Linked DNA regions of Mus musculus: all the other regions are reported to be linked to region 2. Evidence: microRNA targets listed by miRTarBase, many of them from high-throughput screens and not tested one by one. Region 2 holds a microRNA gene; each other region holds the end of a gene's coding sequence.

Evidence for each region. Region 2 holds the annotated microRNA mmu-miR-326-3p (CCUCUGGGCCCUUCCUCCAGU, at 3,912-3,932, opposite strand). A microRNA usually pairs through its seed, bases 2 to 8, with sites in the 3' UTR of a target mRNA and lowers its output. Matches are read on the target gene's strand: a 7mer-m8 pairs with bases 2 to 8, a 7mer-A1 pairs with bases 2 to 7 and ends in A, and an 8mer does both.
Region 1: miRTarBase lists Maff as a target of mmu-miR-326-3p. Seed matches in the 3' UTR shown: 7mer-A1 at 2,749-2,755 and 7mer-m8 at 3,156-3,162.
Region 3: the mRNA of Tars2 is a reported target of mmu-miR-326-3p. The part of its 3' UTR that is shown has no 7-base or 8-base seed match.

The regions. Positions count from the first base shown.
Region 1 is chr15:79,355,824-79,366,038 of GRCm38, forward strand. Maff (v-maf musculoaponeurotic fibrosarcoma oncogene family, protein F (avian)) reads left to right here. Exons shown (of 3, transcript NM_010755.4): 2 at 1,144-1,210; 3 at 1,598-3,253. The coding sequence starts at 1,175. The coding sequence ends at 2,032. Tmem184b (transmembrane protein 184b) reads right to left here. Exons shown (of 9, transcript NM_172608.1): 7 at 9,964-10,133; 8 at 9,462-9,656; 9 at 4,861-7,062. The coding sequence ends at 6,821. Among named protein-coding and RNA genes, the nearest start is that of Maff, 13 kb to the left of the region's middle.
Region 2 is chr7:99,546,045-99,556,259 of GRCm38, reverse strand. It overlaps Mir326 (microRNA 326), which reads right to left and starts at 3,991; the gene lies at 3,897-3,991. The region is part of intron 1 of Arrb1 (arrestin, beta 1); the gene reads right to left.
Region 3 is chr3:95,733,076-95,743,290 of GRCm38, reverse strand. Tars2 (threonyl-tRNA synthetase 2, mitochondrial (putative)) reads left to right here. Exons shown (of 18, transcript NM_027931.3): 14 at 613-713; 15 at 874-975; 16 at 1,145-1,217; 17 at 1,855-1,969; 18 at 2,972-3,317. The coding sequence ends at 3,120. Ecm1 (extracellular matrix protein 1) reads left to right here and starts at 3,722. Exons shown (of 11, transcript NM_007899.3): 1 at 3,722-3,918; 2 at 4,990-5,052; 3 at 5,175-5,279; 4 at 5,403-5,483; 5 at 5,578-5,658; 6 at 6,234-6,278; 7 at 6,500-6,819; 8 at 7,070-7,444; 9 at 7,872-8,092; 10 at 8,381-8,468; 11 at 8,821-9,144. The coding sequence starts at 3,849. The coding sequence ends at 9,051. Mir7014 (microRNA 7014) reads left to right here and starts at 8,318; the gene lies at 8,318-8,380.

The DNA of each region.
Region 1 (10,215 bases), not on the chromosome of region 2:
CCAGGGTGCGGGATACAGGTGTGCACCACACCAGCTTCCCTCCATGAGTTTCTATCCACTTGTCTCCCCAGTCCCTGTCCATGGCAAACTACAGCTATTCAGAAAATGGCCACTAAAGGAATGTGAGGCTCCGAGGCTCATGGGGAAGGCTCTAGGACCAATGGGCTGGCTTTAGGCTAGGGGATAGCTGCTGTTCCCTCTAGAGCAGGTGTTCTTAGCCTATGGGTCTTGTCCCCTTTGGCGGTTGGATGACCCTTTCACAGGGGTCACCTATCAGGTATCCTGCATATCAAATATTTATACTACAATTCATTAACAGTAACAAAATTACAGTTAGGAAGTAGCAATGAAAATAATTGTATGGTTGGGAGTCACCACACTATGAGGAACTGTTAACAGGTGGCAGCTTTAGAAAGGTTGCAAGCCACGCTCTAGGACCATGCTGAGCAGTGATGGGCAGACCCAGGGAGTCTGGGACTCCCAGAGGCAGGAGGATAGTGAGTTTAAGTTCAGCCTGGATTACATGGTAAGACCATGTCTTTAAGACAAAGAAGGCAGGTGAGATGGCTCTGTGGGTAAAAGGGGCTTGCAGCCAAGCCCAAGGGTCTGAGATGGATTCCTTAGAACCCACAGGTGGAAACTGACTCCTGCATATTATCCTCTGAGCGCCACACAACTGTCACAGCGCTGGTGTGCCTGACTAACGCACACATAAATGTAAAAAGAAGTTGAAACAAACCCAAAAGTTGCATGCATACCCTGGCCCCATGTGGGAAAGGAGAGTGGAAGGAGAGTTCACATTTGTTGAGTACCTAGTGTATACAGGCACTGACTGACCTTGGTGTGGAGAGGCTGCAGTGAAACGGGAACTTCGGTGGAGAAGGGGATGGGGAGGGACAGACCATCCATTAGGACACCTCTGAAAAGGTGGCACTGGGCAAAGACCTAGATAATGAGCCATTATGGGGAACTGGGGCAATACAGGGAGAGCAAGAGCGAAGGCTGGATCGTTGGGGTCAGCGGAGGTTGCTATCAATTCTGAGATAGAAGCCTTGAATGCCAGGTCCGGAGATTGGATTTTACTCATGTAAGTAAAACATGAACACACCAACCAAGGTGACCCTGAACTTCTTTCTCTCCCAGGTCTCCAGCCCAGAGGTCATCTTCTGCGAAAATGGCTGTGGATCCCTTATCTAGCAAAGCCCTGAAGGTGAGGCTGCTAGCTCCTTGTAGTCTCTCTCTGCTGCTGCTCCTGGTAGAGCACCGACATCCCAATTCCCCTTTCCTTCCTGGAAGCCCCAAAGGCGACTCAGCAGCAGAGGCAGGTTACTTCCTGTTGAGCGCGCTTCCCCCATTGCAAGGGGCTTTCCAGGCTGGGTTTCTCAGCTGGGTCCAGGACTTGACGCGTGGTTAGTTTGAGCCTTGGGTGACCTCCTGTAGGCTGATGCTGGTCCTGCTAACTTTCAAGGTCTTGGCTCAAGTCCAGTAACCGCCGAAACGGGGAGAGTGGGGGCGCAATGAGAAGGGGGGCGCCATGGGAAGTGGGGCGGCATCCTCAAGCACGGGCCCCGTGCCTCTGTTTCCCCATGGCCCTCAGGTCAAGCGCGAGTTGAGCGAGAACACGCCGCACCTGTCGGATGAAGCGCTGATGGGGCTGTCGGTGCGCGAGCTGAACCGCAACCTGCGCGGGCTGTCGGCGGAGGAGGTGACGCGGCTGAAGCAGCGGCGCCGCACACTCAAGAACCGCGGCTACGCGGCCAGCTGCCGCGTGAAGCGCGTGTGCCAGAAGGAGGAGCTGCAGAAGCAGAAGTCCGAGCTGGAGCGCGAGGTGGACAAGCTGGCGCGCGAGAACGCCGCCATGCGCCTGGAGCTCGACGCGCTGCGCGGCAAGTGTGAAGCGCTGCAGGGCTTCGCGCGCTCCGTGGCCGCCGCCCGCGGGCCCGCCGCACTGGTGGCGCCCGCCAGCGTCATCACCATCGTCAAGTCGGCGCCGGGCCCAGCCCCTGCTGCTGACCCCGCCCCCTGCTCCTAGTACCCGCCCCCACCCCACCACACCCCTCGGAGGCCACTCCCTTCTTCAAGTGCCTGAGTTCCTTCTGCTTCCCATTCCTTTCCTCTGCCACTCGTTGTAGTGACTTCACATTCCTTTCCTGGGCTCTGACTCTTGCAGGCCCCCAAACTGGGACCTGATGGCCCTGGGGAGGGGCAACTTTGCTAAGTTGGGGGTGGGGGGAGGCGTTAGGGTTCTAAGTTTCCCTGGGCTGAAAGTCCGGCTCAAATTGAAAATGAGGTCGTGTGGCCAGAAGGAGAGCTGGTGGAAGAGGCTTTGGATTGTGCCAGCATGCCCTTCCGACCCTCCCAGGACCCAGGACTAGGTGTGGCCTTGTGAGACTGTCCTGCTGGGAAGCAGACCTCCCAACTGTGCTTGAGACTTGGGAATGCCAGGCTTTCCCAAGCTAAGAGTCTTTGGAACGGATCAATGGAGCTCAGTTGACACATGGGGAAGCTGTCAGGCAAAACGACCTAAGGCCACTGAGCACGGAATTGTTGAGCTGCAAACCCAAGTGGGGCCTTCTTACAGCTGCCTTAATGAACATTCCAAGCGTGGCTTTCACAGGGGGAACAGTACCCCGGGACTGAATAACATGGTAGGAGAGCCTCCCGGGCCTGGGAGACAGCTGTGTGGTGGGGAAAGAAGCTGAAGGAGAGAGAAGGTGACACAAAGGGTTGAGGTGAGGAGCTGGCCAGCCAGAGAAAGATGGATGGAGACGACCACTGGTAGAGAGAGGCAAACACTACAGTCCTGATGCAGGAGAATGGGGTGGGTGTGGGGTGACCTGGAGTTACGGCTTCCACTTTGGTCCAGAGTATCTGTGGTGGTCTGAGGGTGCTGATCACTGTCCCCCTGGGAAGTCCAGCCCTAGCACCTTCCCAACACTGTATACAGCTGACTCTTCCACACTCTTATTTATTGCACGAATCTAAGTTATTCTCACCAGCCAGAGTCCAGCTCCTCTTCCCTGGGAAATACGTGGGCCCTGAGCTGGACTTATATTTTATATCTACAAATAAATCACATTTAATCTTATATTTAGGGAGAGCTGGGTGGCAACAATAGGTTTTTTTTTTAAAAAAAAAAAAAAATTTGCGCAGCTCCCAGAGTTTATTTATTTTCTGACTTCAAGTGAGCCAGTTATCTGCCTTGAGTATTTTGTAGACTTTCTGAATAAAGTCAAGTTCTCTTTTTCCACAAGAGAAGTGTATGTCTTGGACTATTTTGTGTGTGCTCTAAATGAGTGGCCTCGGATGGGTGGGAAGGGACTTATGGGTGAGGGGAGGCTATATCCCATTGCTAGCTCTCACAAGCAGGTGTGGATGGAGATAGGCAAGAAATGAGCTCAGACTGTACAGAGCCAGGGAGAGACAGGTCCTAAGCTTTGAAAACTGTCTTCCTTCTACTTTCACATAAGTCTGATTTTTTTTAAAAAAGATTTATTATTTTATGTAAGTACACTGTAGCTGTCTTCAGACACACCAGAAGAGGGCGTCAGATCTCATAACAGATGGTTGTGAGGCACCATGTGGTTGCTGGGATTTGAACTCAGGACCTTTGGAAGAGCAGTTGGTGCTCTTAACCACTGAGCCATCTCTCCAGCCCCAAGTCTGATTTTCTACAGCCCTGTGGGAACTACATCCCAGTGTTTTTGAGCCAGGGAGAGAGAACTACTGAGTTCTGGGAGCTAGGCTTCAGTCTCAGTCAGGGGATGGGTTTGTATGCATACTCACTGACTCTGCCATCCTGGTGAGGGGTGGACTCCTCTGGTCTTCAGCCAGGGCAGTAGGGTTTTTCTGGGTGGTACTGCCTGGTTTCTTATAGCTCCAGTTTACTTTGAAACACTGGTTCTCAACCTTCCTAATGGTGGGATCTTTTAATACAGTTCATGTTGTAGTGACCCCTAACCATAATCTGTTGCTAGTTCATAACTGTCACCTTGCTGCTGTTATGAATCACAATGTAAATATCTGATATACAACCCCTATGAAAGGATTGGCCGACCCCCGGAGGGGTCACTTTACTATAACGGTGCTATAGAGGACTAGTCTAGAAAAGCCAGAAGGGCTGCAAAACCTAAAAGCACAAGAGATGCTAGAGGAATCTTGTATGTGGCAAGTCCGGGAGTGAGGGAAGAGGCCAAAGAAAGGGGCAGAGGGGAGAGCCCGATCACGTGGCTTGGCTGGACCCACAGAACTTTCTCCCCCTCAGATTGGGGCTGTGCCAAGACTTCTTCCTGAGAGGCCTGGCAGCTGGAAGGGGTATTGGGTGGGGGTGGGGGTGTGCACAGACAATGTAGGTAGGCCGTTTACCTTCGGGTTATAGGCTGCTTAGGAAGTTCCCTCCCCCACGTGCATTCCAGTCATGCCTGTCACCCATAGGCCAGGCTCTTGGAAAGGCATGGTGCATGCAGGGAAGGTACCCATGACCAGGAGCTCCTGCCCTAGGCTCCTGGTCCCTAAGGATGGAGGGTTGGCTCAGGGAAGATGAGGCAGGTGTGCAAGTCTTCTGGGAGATGCCTTACAGAAGAGGTGACCACCTGCCTCTGGAAAAAAACAAGGACTGAGGCCCAGCCCTCTCAGGGATGGGGAGAGGAAATTCCCCGTGTTAGGCTGTCTGGGAAGAGAGAAGAAACTGTCAAATAGGGATGTGGGACCTGATTTTAGACCCAGACGGTGTAAACGCCCCCATGACCTACATCCACTTCACACACAGGAAGAGAGAGGGTGGACGTCTCTGCCCACGGCCACTACACTTCTCCCAGACAAGAGGGGAAAAGAAAAAAAAAACCTCGCTGGCAGGCAGAAGAGATTTCAATACAATCTATATTATCTCATATATATATTTCTTCCTGACTTTATTTGCTTGCTTCTGTCACGCATTTAAAATATCACAGAGACCAAAATAGAGCGGCTTTCTGGTGGAACGCATGGCAGTCACAGGACAAAATACAAAACTAGGGGGCTCTGTCTTCTCATACATCATACAATTTTCAAGTATTTTTTTTATGTACAAAGAGCTACTCTATCTGAAAAAAAATTAAAAAATAAATGAGACAAGATAGTTTATGCATCCTAGGAAGAAAGAATGGGAAGAAAGAACGGGGCAGTTGGGTACGGATTCCTGTCCCCTGTTCCCAGGGACCACTAGCTTCCTGCCACTGAGTTCCCCCACAGCCTCACCCATCATGTCACAGGGCAAGTGCCAGGGTAGGTGGGGACCAGTGGAGACAGGAAGCAGCAACATACTTTGGCCTGGAAGATAAGGAGAAGTCTCAGAAACACACTGGTGGAAGCAATCCCACGGCCGTGCCCCAGGAGCTCCCACCTGTCTGCTGCCTCCCTGGGTGGCTTGGGAGCAGCTGGCCAGGCCCTCTGGGTGGGGCCGAGCTGGCCTCTGGGCCGTGTGGAAGGAAGGAAGGAGGCTAAGAAGGTTGCTAGGATGTGACAGCCCCATGAGGTCCCTCCCTATGGACCCCAGGGAAGGAACCTGTTTGTTCCAGAGGTGACCAAGGGGAGAGCATCCACTGAAGGCTACAAGGTAGGGCTCCCCACCACTCTCCACCTCAAGAGGCTACTGGAGCCAAGACCAAGTGCTGCTTGAATTCTGCTTACCAGGCCCCTGCCACCCTACCTCTGAGATCCCAGCCCTGGGAGGCAGCTCTGGGATGTGCGTGTAGAGGGAGCCAGGGAGAGGGTGGGTGGTCCCAAGGATGCCCAACCCAGCGCTGCGGAACCCTGAGTGCCAGCAGCTCAACGAGGAGTGCCTGGAGCAGACGGGAACTGGGGAGGGGCTTTCATATGTGACTAAGGCACAGAAGAGATGGGCCAGGGGCCAGATGGAGCAGACCACCAGGCCCTGTATGGTCAGGGGACCCAGGAGGGTCTGAGACCACCCCTACCTTGGCCCCGCTGTATGACCATCCCTCCAGCCTCCCTCTGGAAGTGATCTGTAATGTGGAGACTGACTTTTCCCATGACCCAGGAGGGATAAACCCCAGGGAGACCAGGGCCTAGCAGGAGTCTTTGCTCCATTGAGGAGGTGGTGGGGAACCCAAGCCCTGGCACAGTCAGGAAGTATAAGGGAGTGTGGGGGCTCTGCCCCCAACTATCAAGAACTGGACCCAAGTGAGAGGGCAGTGTGGGCTTCTGGCTGTCCTCAGCAGGCAGAGTGGCCACAGTGAGGACACCCAAGGATCCAGAGCCCCACATGTCACCAAAGGGCCCATAGGCACAAGGCATCCTTCCTAAGTGGGCCCTGAGGCTCCTGGGGGCTGGCTCTGGTCCTTGCAGCATGCCAGACAGGCCTAGGTTGGGAGAGGGGGAGGGTCCACAGAGCATTCACGTCTCTACCTGCCCAGAATGTGACAAAACTCACACTGGACAAGGGTGACCAGGGAGAAGCGGGCAAAGGCCTGGGGAAAGACCAGGCTGGGTCTGGGTATTGCACGGTGTAGGGTGGGCTGGGCCTGACAGCTCGGCAGATATCTTGTTGGGGAGGGGGCTTAGGATGCAGCTTCTGGCCAACACACGGTACAGGATGAGTCGCAGAGATGTGACAGCTACAGCCGCTGTCCTCTGCCCCTGCCCCAGCTAGTGCAGGGCTGGCCAGGGAGAAATATTCCTGAGGCCTGTTCCTCTGGAAGTGATATGCGAGTTTCTGGTCCAATAAATAAAAGGGCAGCAGCCATGCTGTGCTGGTTGCTCTGCTCCCCAGCCTGGCTGGGGGCTGGGGGAAGCACCTCTCCTTCCCCTCCAGGGCCCACACTTAGAACTCATCATCAGAGCTGAGCAGCAGAGTCTTCTCATTGTCGCGTGCACCACTAAGGCTGTGGGAGCGGGAAAGGCTGTGCGTGCCGCCACGCCAGGTGGGCCCGGGCTCCAGAGTGGACTGCTGCGTGTACTGCTGGTAGGCTGGCGAGAAGTTGTGGATGGCGTCCTGCACAATATCGTGTGGGTTCATGGTCTCTTTGAGGCTGCTGGAGATGCTCTTCATGGGGGCGCAGCGGCCTGAGGGGAGGGCGGAGGGGGGGGCACATGAGGCCGGAGTGGGAGGAGGAAGACTTGGTCAGTCCCTGCCCCTACTCCTGGGACAGACCCCACCCCAGTGCTCCTGGGACATGAAAGGGACAGGACACCAAGGCTGCTGCTGACCAGGAGAGACCTGGGGAGCTGTGAAGGAAGCTAGGACAAAGGGGCAGAACATAGCACTCAGGGAGGAGAAGACAGGGCAGGACGGGAAAGCTGCAGGCAGTCACTTGGCCCACCAAGCTCTAGTGCTAGGCTGTGACCCCTAGCCTGGGATGGCTGCTGAACCAGGTCTCAGGTACAGTAGCAGGCTGGCCTGTTGGCTGTCCCTCCCAGAGGGCAGGAACTCGCTACCTTGACTTGCTTCTAACTCATCCACCTGTGCCCCACAGCATCAGGGTAGGACTGGGGACACAGTGTAGGCCACCAAGCCCAGCTGGAGCGATGAGCTCAACACTGGGCCCAGGCCGTGAATGGGACTCATACTCTCTCAGAAACACTACTAAATGCCCCTCCTGTTACTTTAGGGGCACTGTGTTCCAGAACCGAGCAGAGTGTACTTCAAAACCAGAGAATGGAACGAAGGCAGCCAAGCTCTGCAAAGGCAGCTCTCTCAGTCAGGTGCTCGGGGCTCTCACCTAGGAGTGCCAGCTTGGAGGAGTGGGTACACGCGGGGCTACAAAAAGGCATGCCAGTGACGGGAGCAGACTGACGTGCAGGACAGACGTGCAGACAGAGCAGAGAGCAGACCTACCGTATGGGCCGTACGTCAGCACTACCCGAGGCCAAACCCAGGGCAAATGCAGAGGAAAGGGGCAGGGAGAAAAGCCGGAGGGATAGAGAAGATAAGAGACAGCTGAGTGAAAAGGGCCTGCTCGCCCCAGGCCCAGTGACGCCCCCACCCATCCCCAGACACCCAGGCTGCCCCTGAAGGGCAGTGCTCGTGCTAATAGGGGTCACCCTGATGGCAGTGGAAGTTCCACCCCATATCTGAGGGCCCCTCTTCCCACTTCTCCTAGGTCTGCTGGAGCTATGCCTACAGGGAGCTCTGTGTCTTACAAAACTCACTCCAATGTATAGTGCTAGAAATCAAGGCTCAGAGACGATCACAGAGAGTGTTCACCCCAGCCTAATCTGAGTGCCATGGTTAGGAGAATGGACAACAGCCCGCAGCAGCAGCTTGTCCTGGGTGGGCTGTTTCTTCTAGGGTGGGTGCATCTATAGGGGAGGTCCTGCCTGAGGGAAGTACAGGGAACAGCCACCATGCCACCAGTAAAGTGCTCCTGCAGAGCCTCTAAGACACAACACCCCTCTGTGCAAACTAACCTGGCTTGCTTCTAGCAGCCTGGCTAACCAGGTTTAAGGGATATGGATAAAAGTTATCGGATCTTTCCCACTGGGGCCTAGCAGGAAGCGGGGTGGGGGTGGACCAACTAGCAACTCTCGGCAGAGCAGGGATGCCCTCAAGCACCAGGGTGGCGGCTAAAGCGCCATTGTGTCAGGGAGCACAGGCCTGCAGAGGCAGCTGAAGGTCACTCCCAACCGAGAACAGCAAAGGGGCTGGGCAGGGAGTCCTGTCTTGTGGGTCCCTAAGACTCCCCATGCCAACCACAGGGACCCATGGTGGGCACTGAGGCTTGGGTAAGGGGTTTCTGGCCTGCAGCCATGACGTAAAGCTGACAGCAACTAGATGGCGGTGGGCAGGTACTTTAGTCAGGAGGCCTCCCTTTCCTGTCCCTGCTGTCTCTCACCGGATGGCAGCCTCAGGCATTCCCCTCAGGAACAAGCCTTCTACACACCTGGCCCACTGCTTCTCCAGACACCCGCACGGGCCAATCACAGAGGTGCCCAGGTTGGCCCTACCCACCAAGATCTTTCTAGGGCTCCTGTGGACACCAGGGCTATGGGATACTGCCTTAGCAACAAGGATTAGAGGCGTGAAGGGCCAGCGGCGGGCATGCCTTTGACCCTGCTTTTCACAGGGAAGTGGGGTTTCTGTGGTTTGCTCCTTGAAGACAGCTCAGCAGGCAGAAGACAGGTCAGAGCAGACGCTACTCAGTGGAGTTTGCTAGTCTCTGTCCCTACTTTTTTTTTTTCCTCAAACTCATAGTAACCCTCCTGCCTCAGCTTCCTGAATGCTGGGATTATAAGAATATACCTTTCTATACCATTTGTAGGTCTCTATGCTAGGACCTACATGGGTGAACTGAGCTTCTACAAGCTAACTAGGGGTCCCTCTGGATTCTGACAGCCCCGCTACTCTGACATCTTTAGCTCATCTTTCAGTATACTCAACCCTCACAAGATGCCGGGTGGTGGGGGTCTCTGGAGTTGGCCTCCTAAGACTGGGGTCATGCCCTGGGTAGGAACCTGGCTCATACCTTGAGCGTCCAGTCTCTTGTCAGCGTAGACCTTGTAGGTGAAGGCATGCCGCAGGGCCAAGGCCGCGAAGAACATCTCCACACAGATGATGAAGTCCTGGTAGCCGGCAGCCACGGTGCCCTCACCCACTGACACTCGCGCTGAGTTGATCTTGGGGATGGCCCCGCACTTCTCTAAGATGGCCAGCAGCATGCCTGTATAGGGAGAGCCACTGTCTGGTCACACGCCAGATCCCTTCCCATGCCCTGCAGTCATGCAGTGCCACCCAAACAGCCACACACCCCAGGGTACAATAGGGCTCATTTGCTCCTGGAGACACTGAGAACAGGAGTTTCCTGCAAGCTTCACCCCTCCCAAGTGCCCAGTGAGTTCCAGGCCAGGATCTTAAAGGACAGAACTCTGGCTGGAACCCACAGTTCTGGAAACATGAACCGAGTGGGAGATGGGACCAGGGTGGAAGCAGGCACTGGGGCTATGAGCACCAGGTGAGAGAAGGCCGACCTTGCCAGAAGGAGAGGAATATGACGGACTTGACCATGAAGAACTTGAGGACAGGGCTGTAGGGGCTGAGCAGCTCCCTTGTGGCAAAGTAGAAGAGGAAGAGCGCATATAGGGCCAGGCTGACGGAGATGTTGTAGATGATGGTCACGTAGAGGTACCCACTGGTGACACTGTGGGGAGGCATGTGTGGCTGGGACCAGCTCTGTGAGGGCAAGCTGCCCCCTCCTCCACCCTGCCCACAACCTGCTCCCA
Region 2 (10,215 bases):
CCCCAAGTCACATGATTGGAGGGCTGCAGCCCCAGCCTTGGGGACCAGCTTTTGCTCAACCAAGGTTTTCCTAGACCCCAAACCAGAGGCCAAACACCCCATGTGCGAGGCAGGAATCTGCAGTAGTGCCCGGAGTTTTCATCTCTCCTGTTGTTTTCCTCGGCACAGAGGAAGGTGGCCCCCAGCAGATGGCCCTAGAGATCCATGAGCAAGACTACAGAGCTGGGCTGGCTGCACAGTGAGCTGGAAAACAGAACCAGCATAGATGGGCACAGAGCAGTCGCTAGTGAGGGTTTCTCTGCTGCCAGTGCCTTCACTTCTCAATCTTAAACATCCTTGGTTTCAATCCCCGCTGCCTCTTCCTGCCATCTAGCCTCGGACCATGCCAAATTGCACCTCCTCTGAGCCACCTAGCCCAACAGCAGGAAGTAGGTTGATGCTCTCTAATTTGAAAGGCCTAAACACTCCCAAATCTGAAACTCTGTGAGCATCAACAGGCCTCAAGGGGAAAACTGCATACCTGACCTCCGGCAAAGGGTCACAGTGAAAACAAAGAGGCATTGAACAGTATAAAACTGGAGCTAAGGTTGTAGTTCAATGTTAGGGCACTTGCCCGGTATACACAGGTCCCTAGGTTCAGTCCTCACCCCCCCCCACACACACACACACACATGTGCACACACACCCCTGCCTGTAAAAATCACCATTACCATGAGGCCACCAGTATAAGGCAAACAAGATGGCCCTCACAGACCATCTCCTTCTTCCTCTGTTTTTGGATAGGGTCTTCAAACTCCCTACCTCTGTAATTGAGGCTGAACCCTAGAACATCTTTCTCTCTCTCTCTCTCTCTCTCTCTCTCTCTCTCTCTCTCTCAAACATTTATCTATTTATTTATCTATTTATTTATTTATTTAATATGAGTACATTGTAGCTGTCTTCAGGCATACTAGAAGAGGGCATCGGATCCTATTACAGATGTTTGTGAGCCACTATATGGTTGCTGGGAATTGAACTCAGGACCTCTGAAAGAGTAGTCAGTGCTCTAGAGTCACTGAACCAGCCTCTAGAACATCTTTTTAAAGATAAGGTCTCACTAACTAGACATGAAGCAAATAAGAACAACAACGACCATGCTGCAGAGCCTGGAATCCCATCAGAGCCCAGCCCTGCACACACAGGTAACTAAGGAGGATGAGAGTGGGAGATGCCATCTTCCCCAAGGATGAGCACACCAATTGGTTATCCAATACAGATGGTCATACCTAAAAAGATACAGACAGTACCACACTGAGCAGGTCACAGTTAGGAACATATATATATGTATAGACATAACAGCAACTAATGAAAAAGTATCCATGAATTTGAAGCAGAGCAAGGAGAGTTGAATGAGGAGGTGTGGAGAGAGGAAAGGGAGACAGGGGAATACTGTAATTACATCATAATCTCAAACAGTAAAAGAAGTAATAATAATAATGTGATAATGATCATTATCATCATCGTCATCACTATCTGTGTAGCTAGAACTGGCTTTTTAGGCCAGGTTTGCCTCAAACTCAGAGATCCACCTGCCTCTGGCTCCTGAGTGCTGGATTCAAGGAATGTGCCAACACGCCCGCCATTCCCTCTAACTTCTGATCCTCTTGCTTCAGGTAGGTGGCCAACCTGACCAGTTTATGTAGCACTAGACTTGAACCCAGGACTTCATGAATGCCAGGAAAGCACACCACCAACTGAGCCACGTGCCTGGGCCCCGAGGCTACCACCTTGTGCCTACAAATTCAGTCAGCTTAGAAAACAACTTCCCATTTGATGAGAGCTTAGTAAATAAATATTTGAATGGGTGGATGGACAGATGGACAGCCCTCCCTGCAAGCTGTGTGGTCTTGGACAAACTGCTTAACTCTCTGCCTGAGTCTCCCTTTACAAGTGGGAACCCTATTCTGGGATACTTTGGAAGACTGAGAGCGAGAACACACATACAAGACCTCCTGGGGTCAGGAGGAAGTGGACCCACCCCATCCTGCCCCTCTGTTCCCAAGGCCAGAGGAAAGTACCCAGCCTCTGGACTGGCATAAATGTTTATGCCGATCCCCAGCCTCCTAGAGACAAGTTATTTGTTTGGCTTATAATTAATTGCAGAAGGCCAGGCTGGGCAATAAATTCTGCTGTGGAAACATAAACAGTTTTGCACAGAGCTCCAAACCCATTGTGAGGCCAGCAATGAGGGTCTGCTAGAAACAGAACGTCTGGGCTGTCACTTCTCCACCCCAGGCAGACAGAGCACGGGTCAGATGGAAGACCCGCTGAAAACACAGCTGACTTCCAGCATTACCTCCTCCAAGACCCAGCAGAACACTTGATTTATCTGTCTACCCAATCTGAACCTGAGGAAAGACTTGCCCCACCTAGAAAATGGCTGGGTAGACCGAGGAAGTAGGCTTGACTTAATGAGAGAGAGAAAAGCAAGCCTCGGCTATGTTCTCAGCATGGAATTTACGCTGCATACCTCTGCTGCCAGGCACTGGAACCTGGAGACACAGATCCCAGGGCGCTGGCATTCCACAGCAGGGAGATGGCAGATGTCAGCGTGTCTCTAACAGCAATATGATTACAGGGCTCTGCACAGTACAAAGTTGCTGGCCTCCAGGAGCCTAGCAACAGTCACAACCACTGGGGCTCTGCAGGGCAAAAACCACACAGAAGCTCCCCGGCGGGGACACACAGTAGGTGCACAGTTTTTACCTAAAAGAATGTTCTTTTCTTCTTACTGGCCCTTTCTGAAGTGCCTCATAGGTGCTGTGTAGAGGCTGAGAAAGGTCACAAGACAAACAAAGAAAGCTCGGGGAGCAAGCACACATTGACACAGGGCACAGGCGGGTGGGTGTGGTGCAGGCAGCATACAAGGTAATAAGGGCTATGGGAATGTGCTGGGCACAATCTGAATACCTACTGTGTGCCAGGTCCTGGGTTTAGTCTTACAGTATCTCTTTTGAGGCTTACCACAATCCCATGGCAGGAAGGATACAGTATTAACCCACTTTTAAGATAAAAACAAAAGTTCAGGAAAATTATGTAACTATTTAACATTTGCTGACCTGACAAGCAGAAGAGGTGAAATTCAATTTTCTTTTCTTTTTTTTTTTTTTTTTTTTTTTTGAGACAAGGTCTCACATAGTCAAAGCTGGCCTTGAACTGATCTCCTGCTCCGTCCGTCCCCCTGGTGCTAGGATTACACGTGTGGACCACCATCCCAGCTAGACATGGGATTTGAAACCTAGCCTAATAACCAGGTCCCTGATTTTTCTCGTAACCCACAACCTGCTCTCCCCAATTTTCTTCCATAAATTGGGTACTGACGTTGGGGAAGGACGGGCAGCCCCCACTGGGACTGCAGAAGAGAACATAGCTGGCTTCCTCACTGAGCTGTCAAGTTCAGCTGAGCTGCTCTGGAAGTGGCTGCAAGCCCTAAAGCAATCAGACTCCTCAACCAGCGACTGGAGTGGAGGCCAGGCCAGGCTTCCTCTAGCCCTTCCCCACGGAGAGCCCCATGTGGGCTCTGATCGTCCCTTTCCAGTCCAGCTGTGCCCCACAGTTGATAATGCCGGTCACCCTCCTAGCGTGTACTGCATTTACCTCCCAAGTGCTGAAATTACAGGCATGCACCACTACACACTGTTTATAGGTGCTGGGCATCTAGCCCAGGGCCATATACATGGGTTACACCCCCATCCCAGATGTCTGCTTTAAAAAACAAAAAACAAAAAAAAACAACCTAATAAATGAACAACACAAATGATCTTTCTTATACAGATTCAGGAAGGCTCTGAGCCCTGGGACACAAAAGATGAGGTCCTGAGAGGAGCCTGGAGCTGGTGTGCAGTTTTGCCTCGAAGTAAATCTGCCTCGGGACTGGAGGAAGGGCCCAGAGGCGATCTGAGCATAACCCGCCTTCACAAAGGCCCTGCCCCCAGCCCAACAGACAGATGAGGCTCGGAAGAGTTCTCCTGGTGCAGAACCGTACCCGCCATGGTCCAGGTCTGTGTGTCTTGTCACAGCTTCTGAAGTAGCCAAGCTCAGCTGAGTTCGGGGCCTGCTGCTCACAAAGGCCACACCAGTGGAGGTCTTGGTGATCCTGATGCATATCCTAGAGAAGATCCTTCCAGCGGGCTGGCAGGATCTGCACCCCCACCCCTACCCCCAGCGGCACGTGCAACCCAGAGTAGCTAAGAACCCCACCTGCCAGCCAGCACATACCATAGTCTCAGTGGCTATGCGGAGTAAGTCATTTCATCTCTGTGGCGGTTTGAATATGCTTGACCCATGGGACATGGCACTATTAGGAGGTGTGGCCTTATTGAAGGAGGTGTGGCCTTGTTGGAGGAAGTATGTCATTGTAGGGGTGGGCTTTGAGGCTCCTAAGCTCAAGCTCCGCCCAGTGAAGAGAGAGTCAGTCTTCTCCTGGATGCTGTCCAATCAAGATGTAGAACTCTCAGCTTCTCCAGTGCCATGCCTGCCTAGATGCTGCCATGCTTCCTGCCTTGGTAATAATAAACTGAACTGCCCAACCTGTAAGCTTTCCCCAACTACATGCTGTTCTTTATAAGACTTGCCTTGGTCACAGTGTCTTTCCACAGCAATGGAAATCCTAAAACAGTCCTCATTTTGCAAAAGGAGACAGTAAGAGCAAACCAACTATGCACTAGACACACCAAGGACTTTCTTACAAGAGCCATGCCTCAGACACTTTCAGAGAAGGACTGTGATCATGTGGAGCAGGTGAGAAATTGACCCCCTTCATTTCTGAAAATGGACCTGAGCGTGGGCCTCCTCTCCCACCTCCTCTGCCACCCTAGCCTAGTCTCCACTCACCCCGGAGGGAAGAAGCGGTCGCAGACACTCAGAGGACAGTGGCCACAGAGTGAAAGGACTTGAGCAGCTGGTCAGAACAGCAGCTTCGGGAAATCATGACAGATCCTCCTGCACAGCAGGAAACAGCCACTGCCCTGCCTTCTCGCCAGACATCCAAGAAAGCACTAGACCCTGGAAGCGCTTCAGAGCAAAAGCCTTGCACACTCAGGGCCTTGTGTCTGTGCACTCCCGCTGAGCACACCTCACTTCCCACTGCCCAACCTCGTCCTCACTGTCCACCTCCTGGGCCTCCCACGTGCTTTTATCACTTCCAGTCCCACATCACAAACCAGGCTTTGCTTTCAGTTGTCCTGTTCCCACTCTGTCCGGCACTCTTGATGACTTCACTGATACAGCTCATCCACAATTCCTTACGGAAAGTACACAGAAAGAAACCATGGTGGTGTGAACGAGAGTGGTCCCCATAGGCTTGTATGTTGGAACGTTTGGTTCCCAGTTGGCAGACTGTTTGAGGAAGGATTAGGAGGTGTGGCCTTGGAGGAGGTGTGGCCTTGGAGGAGGTGTGGCCTCGGAGGTGTGTCACTAGGGGTGGGTTTTGAGGTTTCAAAAGCAAGGCCCAATCTCTCTCTCTCTCTCTCTCTCTCTCTCTCTCTCTCTCTCCTGCCTGAAGATCAGATGTAAGCTCTCAGCTACTGCTCTGGGGCCATGCCTGCCTGCCACCATGCTTCCTGCCATGATGGTCATGAACTCTCCCCCTGAGGCTGTTAGCAAGCTCCTAGTTAAATGCTTCCTTTTATAAGTTGCCTTGCTCATGGTGTCTCTTCACAGCAATAGAACAGTAAGTAAGACAGTAACTTGGTTACTAATGTACCCAGCACTGAGCTGGGAAAAAGGATCCCCTAAAGTGCAAAAATGAGGCAGTCTCAAGAAGCTGGCGTGGCACTGTGTGCCCTGGCCTTAGCCCAGGTGTTGGTCAACTCTCTCAAGAAGTTTCTGACCTGAAAGTAGCTTCCACTCGCCACACAGGTGCTATCAAAGATACCTGCTCAGCCCTTCGCCCACAGAGCGGCACCACCCTATGAGGTAGGTATTATCCTTTCTATGGTATGCAGAAGAAACCAAGGCTCAGAAAGGTGCCGTGACTTGCCCAGAGTTACAGAGCTGCAAGAGCTCTTGCCAAGACTTGAACTCAAACCCAATGAGACAGATAAGAAGATGGTGAGTTCCAGCGTGCATGCGATAGAGCTGTAAAGACAGGACGAGGCCAGGTCAGCTTTGTAGCCTCTGTCTGCATAGCCTGTGTGGGCAGAAGGTGTCCTGTGTACAGGAAAAGGAGAGGACGGAGAGAGGGGCTTGAGAACTGGGACTTTTAAAATCATCTCCAAGCTGGGAGATCTTAGTCCCCAGTTCAAAGTATTTCCTCTTTTCTACTGCTTCTGCCTGCTTTCTTTCAGTACCAGGGCCAGGAAGGAAATGAGACGAAGGAAAGGGTACTTCTCCTTTGGGTCAGCAGCCCAGGCCCACTTCCTCTGAGCCCTCTCTGGCCTCCCTCCCTAACTCCGGCCCAAAGGACAGCCTCCAACAGAGCAGCTCCACACCTGGAAAAGATGTCCAAGGAAGGGAGGCAGGCCAGGGATGCAGTGTGGCTGGCAGGAGGCTTGCTTCACACCAATTCTGTCCCAGAAACACATAAATCCATCCGATAGCACACGCTTGCAATCCCAATATTCAGGACGTGGAGACAGGAGAATCACAAGTTTAAGGGCTTCTTCAAATGCATAGTGTATCTGAGGCCAGCCTGGGGTACAGGAGATCCTGTCTCAGCGTGTGCTGGGTGGAGGAGATGGAAGGTTGCAAGGAAGGAGACAAGTATAAGAGCACACAGTACTAGTACTCAGAAGGCTGAGGCAGGAGGACCACCTTGAGTACAAGGCCAAAGTGGCTTATATATAGTGAATCACATCTTGAAAACAACATATAAAGAAGCTCCTATCAATTAGGGGGTAGGGCTCTTCAGGCCCAAAGCCTGATCTGACAGACACCCAGGTATGGAAAGTCAATGGCCATTGAGGTCAAGCCAGTGTCCACAGTGTGGGGACAGCAGGCAGGAAGTTAGGGACAGGAACTGCAGGGTTCTTGGTACCACCTGAAAACCAGAGATGCTCCTGTAGGGAACAACTGGTGAGCTTTTAAGCTGGGAAGGCCTTGGTCTGGTGTGTTTCCAAACAAAAGGGTTGGTTCCAGGCCATATACTGAGCCACAGACCAGGCAGAAGACCAGTGGGTTGGCCCAGGCCAGAGCTGGTTGCAAGGAGCAGCCTTAGAAGACATGCCCACCTCACCGTTCAGACCGGATGTCTGAGCTGAGCCTGCCCAGGACAGGGAATGGGTTTCTCTACAGCGAGTGTGGATTCAGGTAACCTCTGTCCCAGATACCATCTCATTCATAAAGAAGCTGTGGCTGGAGAAACCCAGGACCGCCTGTGGCCAGGACAGGGCTCACCATAGTCCTCTGAAAATTCCCGGCAACAGGGTTCATTCTGCAAAAGGGTGATTTCAATCATAGCTGCTGAATGGCTGCAGAAAAGGCACCTCGCTGCTGCATGCTAGAAAGAGCAGTGTGCATATTAACTGCTTGATTATAACGTGTCATCAGCTTTGTCCTTTTTAGGATATTGAAAAAAAAAACTTGCCAAAAAAGAAAAAAATCAAAATTCTCCTTACTAAGTCTTTTTTTAAATGCCTTCAGTTTTCTCCCACAGCCCTGGGGCCACACAGACTCATGACAAAAATCTTACCCACCAGATGAGCCCTGTTAGTTCTGGGTGCACTCATTAGCACAGTCACTACAGTGAGAAAGAAGGGGTACCACTTCCCCACAATTTAGCATCTCACCCACAGACAGAGACAGGTATGGTGGGGTGCAAACCCAGCCTGCTGCCCTTTCTCCCACACCGCTTGGCCTCAGTGTCCCTAAAGACGGCACTCTAAACCACACAGACCAGCACACATGCTCTTTCCGGGCCACAGGCCCAAGCAGAGGCTGTGTCTCCTAAAACTAACAACACCCCCCCACACCCCCGCCTTGCACTCTGCTCCAGTGGGCTTCTGCAAGATCTGCTCTGCTGGAGGGAAGCTTGAACCCCTGCTGCCCCCAGTAATCTTGCTTCCGGTGCCATTTGCCCAGTAGCTTTAGATATGTGCAGCTTGCTTGCTTGTTTGTGACAGTTTCCCCCTTGATTTCTTGACCTATTTGTTTTTGTTTTGTTAACTAAAAAAGGTGGGGGAGGGACCCACAATGCCACCCTGGTTGGCCTGGAGCTGACAGTGCAGAGCAGGGTGACCTCATCCTTCTACCATGTGCTTAGATTATAGGCCTGCACTACTATAGCTAGCTTCAACCCAGGTCTCTCTCTCTCTCTCTCTCTCTCTCTCTCTCTCTCTCTCTCTCTCTCTCTCTCTCTCTCTCTCTCCCCACCGTGTGTGTGTGTGTGTGTGTGTGTGTGTGTGTGTGTGTGTGTGTCTGAAGTAGTCTGCATTCCTAAGAAACTCCTTACTGAAAGCTATGAAACTCGAGCCACCATGGGGGGCAGGGTTCCAGTCCCTGCTGAATGCCTGTCCCACAGAGCTCCCACTGCATCTCTGAGTCCTATCAGATGTATCTCCCACAGCGTGCACGAGGGTCCCCTGTTCTGTTAGTGGCTTCTGAGTCTTAATCCTGGATTGCTGTCCAGCTGTAAACTGAAACGCCCTTGCCACTCTCTTAAGAATGTTACAGCCAGCCGGGCAGTGGTAGTGCACACCTTTAATACCAGCATTTGGAAGTTAGAGGCAGGAAGATTTCTGAGTTTGAGGCCAGCCTGGTCTACAGAGTGAGTTCCAGGACAGTCAGGGCTACACAGAGAAATCCTGTCTCAAAATACAAAACCAAAAACAAACAAACAGGATGTTACAGTTGGAGCTAGAGAGATGGCTCAGTGGTTAAGAGCACTGACTGCTCTTCCAAAGGTCCTGAGTTCAATTCCCAGCAACCACATGGTGGCTCACAACCATCGGTAATGGGATCTGATGCCCTCTACTGGCGTGTCTGAAGACAGCTATAGTGTACTCACATATATAAAATAAATAAATCTTTTAAAAAAATAAAATAAAAAGAACGTTACAGACAGCTGGGTGGTGGTGGCAGTAGCTTGACACACACCTTCGATCCCAGCCCTCGGGGGGGGGGCAGAGGCAGGTGGATCTCTGAGTTAAAGGCCAGCCTGGCCTACAGAATTCCAGGATAGCCGGATCTACACAGAAAAATCCTGTCTTTAATAATAATAATAATAATAATAATAATAATAATAATAATAATAAAAACCACCAAAAGGAATGTTCCAGCCACTTACTTTCTTTCTCCCCCAGACATACAAGTGCTACAAGAAGCTGTCCCCACTTCCTATCTCAGACCCCAGGGGCTGGTAAGACAGAGAAACTTCTGCTCGCTCGGGTGGAGGAGTGAAGGGTGACACAGACCAGGAGAAAGGGAATAAGCCGTTTCTGAAAATCCCAACCTAAAAGAGGCTGCTCTTCGTTCATAAGAATTCCAAGAAAGCCAATACTCCAGCTACGGAGAAAGGGTCCACCCTTAGGTGGCACATGAAACCAAACTGCTCCCTAAATGTCCACTGTGGTAGATTGGGCCACTCCAGGGACATGCCTGTAGTAGAGGTCTGGCACCTAGCCAGCACTGGAGAACTGTTTGTGGAACAAACTGAAAAATGCTGGCGATTTGTTCTTCTGGCTGCAGAGGCCAGCTCCCCTCTGGGGGCAGTTTGTAGGCAAATGATCTCAGGTCTGCCGCCTGTTTCCTCTAATGAAGTTTTGCAGCTCTCAGAGTGTGGGAGGAGCCAATGCTCGCTGCCAACCCAGTGGCCTGCACGGAGGCTGCCCATAAGCCTGTCCCGCAGGGTGTGGACAAGGAGACCACTCTTACACACCACTCTGTCCCAGCACAGGATGGTCACCATAACCTGCTGGGCCTAGAGATTCTGAGCAAAGTGGCACCTGCCTCCTGCTTGCAGGGCCTCACTGCAGAGAGAAGGAGGAAGTGAGCAGGGAGTCTTGCTGACTTATATAACCAACTTCCTAGGCCTTGGCCTCCAAGTCAGAGCCCAACTCTGAGGCTGGCAAGCGGCTGGGGAAGCTGAGGCAGCCTCCTGCCATGTGCTGCCAGTCCCCCCACCCCGACTCCCGACCTGAGGACATCTCTCCAGCCCCTCCTGCTGAACACTGGGAACCAGGAAGGGCTGTTGTTTTCCAAGTGTGTGAAAAAGTGGCCCGCCAGCTTCCCTGGCAGCAA
Region 3 (10,215 bases), not on the chromosome of region 2:
AAGCAAGCTATGGCTGAGAGAGGAAAATGTTTGAAAATCCCCAAGGAGAATAGAGCAAAAGGTTTTGCATGGGACCAATTGAATCTTGAACTGATTTCTATGGTGGCATCAGTCTTTGCTTTGGCATCTGTGGCAGGTGGCGTGTGACATGCTAAGTGGCCCTCAGCAGTTGTACTGCAGGGCTGAGGACATGGGAGAGTAGAAGACTAGCAGGATAGGGCTCTGTCTCATCGATCAGCCAGCAAAGCAGTGGGAATGAGGGGAACTGGAGACTATTACAGCTGAGCAGGGCATAAGCGGGGGATGGGACTGCCGATGGGAAAGGGGCTGCAGAGCCAGTGGTAGATCATCAGCTACAAGAGAGTATCCGACTGCCACTAAGAGAGAAGACGGGGTGTGGCGCAGCATAGGCGAGGTATAGGTCTCAGGAAGAACTCAGGGAATTAAGAGGCTGGGGTATGGATAGTCTCTCATCATAGGTGGAGAGGAAGGAAGGAGTATTGGCTGTCTGCATGGCACGGCTCTCCTTACAGGGACAGGGTAGAGAAGATTGGCTGATGGAGCTAATGAAAGCTATTGGGTCTGAGTCTCTCCCCTTCCCATCTTCTCTAGATTGATGTGCACCTCCACGACGCCCTTGGTCGGCCCCATCAGTGTGGAACAATCCAGCTTGACTTCCAGCTGCCACTGAGATTTGACCTACAATACAAGGGGTATAGACCCTGGCTCAGCCCCCCACCCCTGCCTTTGACTGCTCCTCACACTGAGCCAACCCTCCACACCCTACCCCATCAGAGAGTGTTCTTGGTAACGGGAAGTGATTGGGCTCAGGTCATGAGACTTTCACCGTTCACCCACTCCCCTTCTTCCAAGGCCGGCAGGTACCCCAGAGTGTCCAGTCCTTATTCATCGAGCAGTGCTTGGTTCTGTGGAAAGGCTGTTGGGAGTGCTGGCAGAAAGCTGTGGGGGGAAATGGTGAGTCACTGGCCACCAGAGTTCTGCTCTTCTCTCCAGCCAGAAAGTTCGTGCCTTAGGTTCTGACCTTATCCTATGTATTTCCTTTTCAGATCTCCCTACAGCTACACCTAAGCCTAATGGCTAAAGCCAAAGTGAATAACTTCCTGCCCCTTTTTCCTGCCAACAGGCCCCTGTGGCTGTCCCCGCTCCAGGTGGTGGTCATCCCTGTGAGGACAGAGCAAGAGGAATATGCCAGGCAGGTGAGTTGAGAGAAGATCAGGAACAGCAGGGCATCTGCCATGCATCCCTGGTGAGACAGGCTCTGCAGGAGAGTGGGAAGGGCTTGAGGGCAGCTTTCCCGTGTGCTAAACATTCTCCATCTAAAAATTGAGTTCAGCCTTGGCTTTATAGTAAGACCCTTTTTAAATAGTTAGGGGTGAGCCTAGAGCTGTAGGTCAGTTGGTAGCATATTTACCTAGTGTGCAGAAGGCAGTGCGCTCAGTCTGCAGCACCACAGGAGCCTGCAGTCCTAGCACTTGGCAGGAGGAGCATCAGGAAAGGTCATGCTGTGCACAGGTCCACAGCCTGAGCCGCATGAGGTTCTTTATGGAGAAACTATGGACGGACGAGAGTTGAACAGCTGGTTGGGAGATGGGTGCCTAACAACCGACAGAGCCCAAAGAATAATTGAGGCTTCATTTTCTGTGAGAAGCACACAAAGGTTTTAGGTCAGGGATGGGAAGGAGGCCTCAGTATCTCAGAGAAGAGGCAGTTAGCCAGCTCCTGAGAGCATTGGAGGAAGTGGGGATGTGAGACAAGTATCCGAGGAAGAATAGTAACCAACCATCATAGCTCAGCTTCCATTCAGATTTACTCATCACCAAATCTGTATCCCAGGTGCAACAGTGCCTGCAGGCTGCAGGACTTGTGAGTGATCTCGATGCAGACTCTGGACTGACCCTCAGCCGGAGAGTCCGCCGGGCCCAGCTTGCCCACTACAACTTTCAGTTTGGTAAGAGGGTTAGTCGTAGACCTCAGAGCCCCAAGCTCTGCATTCTCTGTACTAACTCTATTGTTTAGCTCTGTGTACATTGAATTAATTGGGACTCATTACCTGGGCTGGGTAGGAGCCTGACTAATCTGCCTGCCTTCCATTGCTCCTTCCCACAACCTATTCCATCCCTCAGAACAGTTGTCTTCTCATTAACCCTACCCTAGGCTGTTTCTGTAAGTTAATTAACCAGGCCAGCATCAAAGAGGAAGGGACAGGAGAGGATTAAGAAGGCATCAGTTGAAGCCAGGCATGGTAGGCACACCTGTAATCCCAGGATTTGGCAGGTACAGGAGGGAGGGCAAACATGTGAGGCCACTGTGGGCTGTATGTAGCAAGATTATCAGTGAACCAGAAGCTGTAGTGCTCTGTGGTGGAGCACTGGCCTCCAATGAGTTAGGTCCCAGCACCAAAACCAATAAAGGCATTAATTAATTGCCTTGTTTATTGTTGTGTGGGTGGAGGCAGCTCTAGGGGACAAGAAAGGTCTTAGGGAAGGAAGTTGCTCCTGACTCTTGGGCCTCTGGAAGCAAGAAGCAGAAACTCCTAGCCAGACCGCCTGACTGGGGCATCACGCATGCCCGTTGCCTTGGCAGCACTGAGAGCAAGCCCCGCCCTGCTGTTTCCCCTTCCTGTACCGTACCCCTCCCCCCAGGTCACACACATACAGTTTTTCTTTTTGTGTAGCTCTCCATGTTTGTCTCTGTCTAACTGACTCTGTATCTCCCAGCCCTGGGCTCCTGACCTGCAGGGAGAGGGGAGTAAAGCCCGGCCCACTTCCTTATCTCATCAGAGTGGACAGTCAGCAGCAGGGCAGGCGAGCTAAGCATGGGCTTCAGCCACGGCTAGGCTCTGCTCCTACCTTTCCTAAAGATTCAGGAGTTTGAAGTTTCTGCAAAGCAAAAGGAAACAACCCATAGGGTGACTTTTGCTTGGGTTTGCAAATCTTTCCTCTTCCTGCAGTGGTTGGCCAGAGAGAGCAGAGTCAAAGGACAGTGAACGTACGCACGCGAGATAACCGGCAGCTCGGGGAGCGAGACCTGGCCGAGTCCGTGCAGAGACTGCTGGAGTTACAGAACGCCAGGGTCCCCAATGCAGAAGAAGTGTTCTGAGTCATGTCCATTGGTGATGTACAGACTCATGAGAGCCGTCCGTCCCTTTCCACGGGACAGTAACCCAGCTGGCAGCCCCGCATGTCCCCGAGGCCTCAGAACTGCTCTCTGAAAATAGACATGGTGTGGGGGCTCCCCACAGAAAGGAATGCTGTACTGACTGGATAGAAGGAGAATAAAAATATACTTGAAGCCAAGGCTGTGCCTTCATCTGAGTCCGAATGCTTTACTCCCTCTTTCCCAGACCTGAGGCAAAGGGATACTGAGGCCTCTGACCAGCAAGGGCACTGCCTCAGGCAGCCATTCTCCTCCCACTCCCACTCAGGAGAGTGTCAGATCCATTCTTTATAAAGGACAGTATGCAGATGGGAAACTGAGGCACAAATTAAGGGTCCAGATGACAACTTGCTCCATGATCCTCTGCATCAGTTTGGAGGGGATCCAGGAGTGCTCCCTTCCATCACCTCCATTCTTCCCAGGCTAAGGAGGCTCCAGGAGTCTGGGAGGAGTGGCTGTAAGAGGAGGAGCAGCAGGGACTGAGTCATGGCAGGAAACAGGGGGGCGGGAGATAGCATATAAAGAGAGACAGACAGCAGGCCTTGAAGTTCACAACGGCAGTAGCAACAGCCAGGGGAGCAGGCTTGCAGCAAGTGGCCCAACCCCTTCAAGTCTAGATCTGCCTGTGACAACCAGCTTCTGGGTGACCAGTGACCAGTTCTTGCCCCAGGATGGGGACCGTATCCAGAGCAGCCTTGATCTTGGCCTGCTTGGCTCTTGCTTCTGCTGCCTCTGAGGGAGGTGAGTCGGGGTGGGGTCAGCAGTTGCTTAAGAGTCTGGCTCCAAAGAGCTCAGCAGTTGGGTGATTGGCTTCCTTTATATGAACATGTCACTGTGAAGTGGGGCTGAACCTTTAACCATGGAGGCTGGAACAGGAGCAGAATAGCTAGAGGTAGTTGCTAAGAAACACAAAAATTAGAGTCAAATAGACACAAGACAGGTGAGTTTACAGGGTGAGGATCCTCCTGTCAGAACACGTGAGGAGGGACGAGGAGGCAGGTGAGGAGGAAAAGAAGCCCTCGGGCTGCTAAAACTCAGCCTACCGAGCCAGGGAGCCTAGACTGGCTCACTCTGGTCAGAGGACGAGTTAGAGTTCACCCACATTCACCCCCTATTACACACACGCACTGCTTTGAAGTCTGAACAAAAGGAAATACCAACTCTGGACAGGACAGAGACTTAGATCCTTCTATAGATAGCCGTGTCTGAGACAGCTCCACCTCGCTGCTGTCCTGGTTCCTAGGTTTGTGCCTTCGGTTCAGCTCCAGATGTGAAGGTGCTTTGCCAGCCTGGTGACCTGTATTCCGTCCCAGTAACCCACATGGAAGGGGAGAAATGACTCCCACAAGTTGTCCTCTGACCTATACACATCACCACGGTGACACACTGGCCCCCTCCACACATACACAAATAATATTTTTCTTGTTTAAGAAACCTAAAATAAGCTGAGATTGAAGGGGAAGGCACTTAAACATTTGGCTAACCGTCCCACCCAAAGGCCAAAAGTATTTTTAAAGGCCTATAGGAAGAAGTTTGAAGAGAGGTGGATCCTGGAACATCAGCGCATTGGAGGGGACGGCAGCCACAAGCCCCATCCAAGGGAGATACTGACAGGAAATCAGACCTCCATTCCCAGCCACATTCTTTTAGACCCCAACTCAGAACCCAGCCACTCAGAGGGGAGGTGTGTGACAGGTGGCTCCCCCACAGCGGGCTTTCCACAGTCTCGGCCTCCACAGCCTCCCCATCCTCTGTCCAGGACCAGGAAAGGACGCCTCAAAACTGCCTGACTTTTGTCTTTCCTTCCTCTAGCCTTCAAGGCTTCAGACCAGCGAGAGATGACGCCAGAGCGCCTCTTCCAGCACCTCCATGAAGGTGAGAGCCTCAGAACTAACCAGATCGGATGAAGACGGGTGCTCAGGACAGCATGGCTGTAGAATTTGTGGGGAACAAGCATGCAATTGGGAGGCTCTGAGTGTCTCCCCTCTTGCCTCTAGTAGGTTATGCAGCACCCCCTTCCCCACCACAAACCCGGAGACTCCGAGTTGACCACTCTGTAACTTCTCTGCATGACCCTCCCCTCTTTGAGGAACAAAGAGAAGGTGAGGCTGCCCCAAAGCCCTCTCAGTTCCCGTTGAGACCTCTAATCTAGTGTACTTCCTGCTCCTCAGGAAGGGAGGGACCCCCCCACCCCACTGTCTGCCTCACAACTGCCTGTTCTGTAGTGCAGCCCCCTTCCTCTCCAGAAGACATCCCTGTGTACGAGGAAGACTGGCCCACTTTCCTAAACCCTAATGTAGATAAAGGTGAGTGCTTCCCTGCCCCCCAACCCCCGCCCACCCCACTGTGATGCTGACACTAGCCTGACCTCCCTCCCTTGTGCCCTCCCCCATCTTGCAGCTGGTCCTGCTGTCCCTCAAGAAGCCATCCCCCTGCAGAAAGAGCAGCCCCCTCCCCAAGTCCATATTGAACAGAAGGAAAGTGAGTGACTGCCTCTTTCCTGCACAGCTTTCCTGCGGAGCCCATGGGCTTGGGGAGGAGGGGCACATGGGACTTACTCTCCTGAGCTGCTCAGTCTCTATCTGTACAGTCGGTGGAATGCTTGTCTGACACAGTCCAGGCTGGCTTTCTCCCGCACTCCATCAACTGGATGTAGTGGCACTGACATGAACATCAGACCTTCAAAGGTTGTTCTTAGGCTGGGCAGTGACTTTAATTCCAGCACTCAGGAGGCAGAGGCAGGCAGAGCTCTGAGGGGTATATAGCCTGCTTGGTATATAGAGCAAGTTCCCAGACAGCCAGGGTCAGCGTTACTGAGTTCAAGGCCAGCCTGGGACATATGAGTACATGAGGCCCAGTTTTAAAGAAGGAAGAGAAGAGAAGAACGGTTGGAAACAATGCCTGTCCAACAGCTCTGTCAATGGTGTAAAATAGCAGTCGTGTTTTTTTCTGGCCTCTCTATTGTGTTCCATCGTGCATGGGAACTAGCAGGAGCCTGTGTTTTAGAGGAGCCCATCCCAACAAGCCTTTTGCTTACCCACCTCCCTCTACCCCAGTAGACCCGCCTGCCCAGCCTCAGGAGGAGATTGTCCAGAAAGAGGGTGAGTGACCACACTGGTCTGTCTGTTCCCACGGTTAGCCCCTGAGCCCCAGGAAGGAGCTAATGCTGGCCTGAGGGTCGCAGTTACCTTTTCCTTTCAGTGACCCTGAACTGAAGAAGCCCACATACTATCCCAGCCCTTTCTCTTCAACCCCAGGTCTCCCAATGCTCTATGCTCAGCCAGCCTGCATGCATTCCTCCCCACTGTTTTCTCTGTTCCAGTGAAGCCACACACCTTGGCGGGCCAGCTCCCTCCAGAGCCCCGGACTTGGAATCCAGCCCGTCACTGCCAGCAGGGACGGAGAGGTGTCTGGGGCCACCGGCTGGATGGCTTCCCTCCTGGACGGCCTTCTCCAGACAATCTGAAGCAGATCTGCCTTCCTGAGCGTCAGCATGTGATCTACGGCCCCTGGAACCTGCCGCAGACTGGCTACTCTCACCTTAGTCGCCAGGGAGAGACCCTCAATGTGCTGGAGACCGGATACTCCCGCTGCTGTCGCTGCCGCAGCGACACAAACCGCCTAGACTGTTTGAAGCTTGTGGTAAGGGTTTGGCTGCTGCTGCTGCTGGATGTGTGCGTGCATGCGTGTGTATGCGTGTGTGTGTGTGTGTGTGTGTGTGTGTGTGTGTCTGCGTGCACACGCATGAGTGCTCCACACTTCACCCGGGGTACAGATGGAGCACAGGTCGGCTGTACTGCTATTTGCCTGCCTAGAGTCCTTTCCTGGAGCCTGGGAGGAGGCAGAAATATGAACAATGAGGTACTGGGTTGACCCACCCCTCTCACTCTAGTGGGAGGATGCAATGACCCAATTTTGTGAGGCCGAATTCTCTGTCAAGACCCGCCCCCACCTGTGCTGCAGACTGCGTGGGGAGGAGCGATTCTCTTGCTTCCAGAAGGAAGCTCCTCGCCCAGACTACCTGCTCCGACCCTGCCCCGTCCACCAGAATGGCATGTCCTCAGGGCCCCAGTTGCCTTTCCCCCCGGGGTTGCCCACACCGGACAATGTCAAAAACATCTGTCTCCTGAGACGCTTCCGCGCCGTGCCACGCAACCTCCCAGCTACTGACGCCATCCAGAGGCAGCTGCAGGCTCTGACTCGGCTGGAGACGGAGTTCCAGCGCTGCTGCCGCCAGGGCCACAACCACACTTGCACATGGAAGGCCGTAAGTGGGCATCCCGGCCACCTTGGGAGCCTGTCTGCCCACCCAGCTCCAACCGCTGACTCTACAGCCATTCATCCACTTTCGTCTGCTTGTGACTGTCCGTCCCTCCGTCAATCCATCCGTCCGTTGTGTCTGTCATCCAAGTCTGTTCACCTTGAGTTTTCGTGCTTCCATCCTGACTTCATCCACCCGTGACCCCACATATGCATCTGTCTGCCGTCCATCCGTCCAGCTATGGCTTCACCCGACCCTCTGTACCTACTGGTCCAGCTCATCTCCAGTGGCCAATTAGGAGCCTCATCTGTGTTCCTCCCTTTTGACCTCCCTCTAGCTCCTGGGGCCTCATCTCATAGCTGAAAGGCTAAGGTGTGGTAAGGAGGAGGAGCCAAGCAGCAGGCTTCTTTCTCACTTCTGTCTCTCTCCACAGTGGGAGGGTACCCTGGATGGATACTGCGAGCGGGAGCTGGCTATAAAGACCCACCCCCACTCGTGCTGCCACTACCCTCCTAGTCCTGCCCGTGATGAGTGCTTCGCCCACCTAGCTCCCTATCCCAACTATGACCGGGATATCTTGACCCTTGACCTCAGCCGAGTCACCCCCAACCTCATGGGCCAGCTCTGTGGAAGTGGAAGGGTCCTTAGCAAGCAGTGAGTCCTGATACTCTTGCCTATCCACAACCTCCTCCTCCCCGGGGGTTCCCTTGGGGAGGTCAAAATCATGACTTCCCAGTTCCATTTGAGCTGTTGGGGTGAGGAGATGTTTATTTATTGTGAAAGTTTCACTCCGTGGTCAAGGCTGTTTTGAACTGGACCAATCTTCTTTCCCCTGTACTCCAAGTAATGAGATTACAGGCATAAGCCACCGACCCCAGCAGGCTTTGGGTGCTGTGGAAGGGACAGAGACCCTGAGCTCTTCCTCTTTCATACCAACCACAGTAAACAGATTCCGGGGCTGATCCAGAATATGACCATCCGCTGCTGCGAGCTTCCATATCCAGAACAGGCCTGCTGCGGCGAAGAGGAGGTGAGTGTGTGTGACCTGTGATTCCAAGGCTCCAGGGAATCAGAAGGCTAGATGTAGAGGTTACCCCTCTTTTTAGTACCTCAAGCCTGTTCGCAGAAGTCAGGTTGAGTGGAATAGATCATTTCTCGGAGTTCTAGAAGGCTTCTTCCTTCCCGAGAACCTCTTGTCCCTGCCCTGGGCCTCAAGCTTCTAGCATTTCCAGATGTACACATCTGTCAGGGACAAGCAGGCAGTCCTGCTGTGGAAAGGAAGCTGGCAGCCTCTGGGCCTCCAGAGGGATCCCAGTGGGCAGCCATGCCGACCTTCTGCCCTCCCCATGCCCCAGCATGCCCCCTTTACATTGCTTTCTCAGAAACTGGCCTTCATCGAGAACCTCTGTGGTCCCCGGAGGAATTCGTGGAAAGACCCTGCCCTCTGCTGTGACCTGTCTCCTGAAGATAAGCAAATCAACTGCTTCAATACCAACTACCTGAGGAACGTGGCTTTAGTGGCTGGAGACACTGGGAATGCCACTGGCTTGGGGGAGCAGGGCCCAACTCGGGGAACAGATGCCAACCCCGCCCCTGGGTCCAAGGAAGAATGAGTCACCCTGAGCCTCAGAGGATTAGATGGGGGAACTCCGCCTACTCCACCCTCCTCGAACACTCATTACAATAAATGCCTCTTGGATTTGGCATCCTCGTTGTCTTTAGTGCGCACACACACCCTTGTAAGCTCCCTAAGACTGGCCCAGTGGCCTGCTCCCACTGCCTGAACAGAAGATGTTTCTTATGTGATGGGACCAGAGCTAAGTGGCTTGACTTCCCTTCTCATCATGACCTTAATCAAATATCTTAATAGAACTCCGCCCCAGTAACTAGCTAGCTGTTGGGAGTCAAAGTGAAAAAGATGTAGTCTATGTTGGGCTACAGCCTAGCCTGCCATTTTATTTTGCTTGACAACTAATCACATGGTCTACCACTGAGGTACATCCCTAGTCCAAGCTGTGTGGTCTCAGTGTGTGATTGTGAATGTGCATATGGTGTGCATGGAGATATGCACACATATGCTGTGGGGGCCAGAGCTCAGAGCATTTGTCTAGGCACCCCATTTTATCAAGGCTCTCTCACTGAATCTGAAATTCACCAATGGCTGCCCCACTGGTCACTGGGGACCCACAAGGGTCACCTGCCTGGGGACTTAACAGATTTGCACCAGCATTTCTGGTTTTCACTTAGGTGCTGGGGATCCCAACTCAATGGCAAGCAGTCTCCCCAGCCCAGGCCGGACAGTTTAAATCACTTCTGATCCTTATGTGAGATCCCACTTTGTCTTATTATCAGTCTGCTGAACCGCTGTTCATGATCATGTTAAGACTTGGGAAATACACATCTTAAAAACACACAGTCTCAGCCCTGGCTATTCACAGTCCAAGAACCTGTTTGCAGGTTTGACAAGTTGTTGCATAGGGTGGACAAGGTGCCAGTGTGTTCTGAGCAGGACAGAGCGTGAATAGGGCGGGGTTGAGCTGGAGGCAGCACACTGCACTTGAGATAGCATCTCAGCCCTGTCCCACAGCTTCCATATTAGAGGTGAAAGGCCCCTGGGAGCTTCCAGTAGAGAATATGCTCTGAAAATGTCGAGTTATCAGCCAGGCAGGCAGGAGGGCCGTGCTACTAGGCAAGAGGGCTGAACTCCAGCCCCGAGATGAACCAGAGATGGCGACCCTCAGCCTTGGCCCCTGAATCCTAAGCCTCAAGGTTGGGGA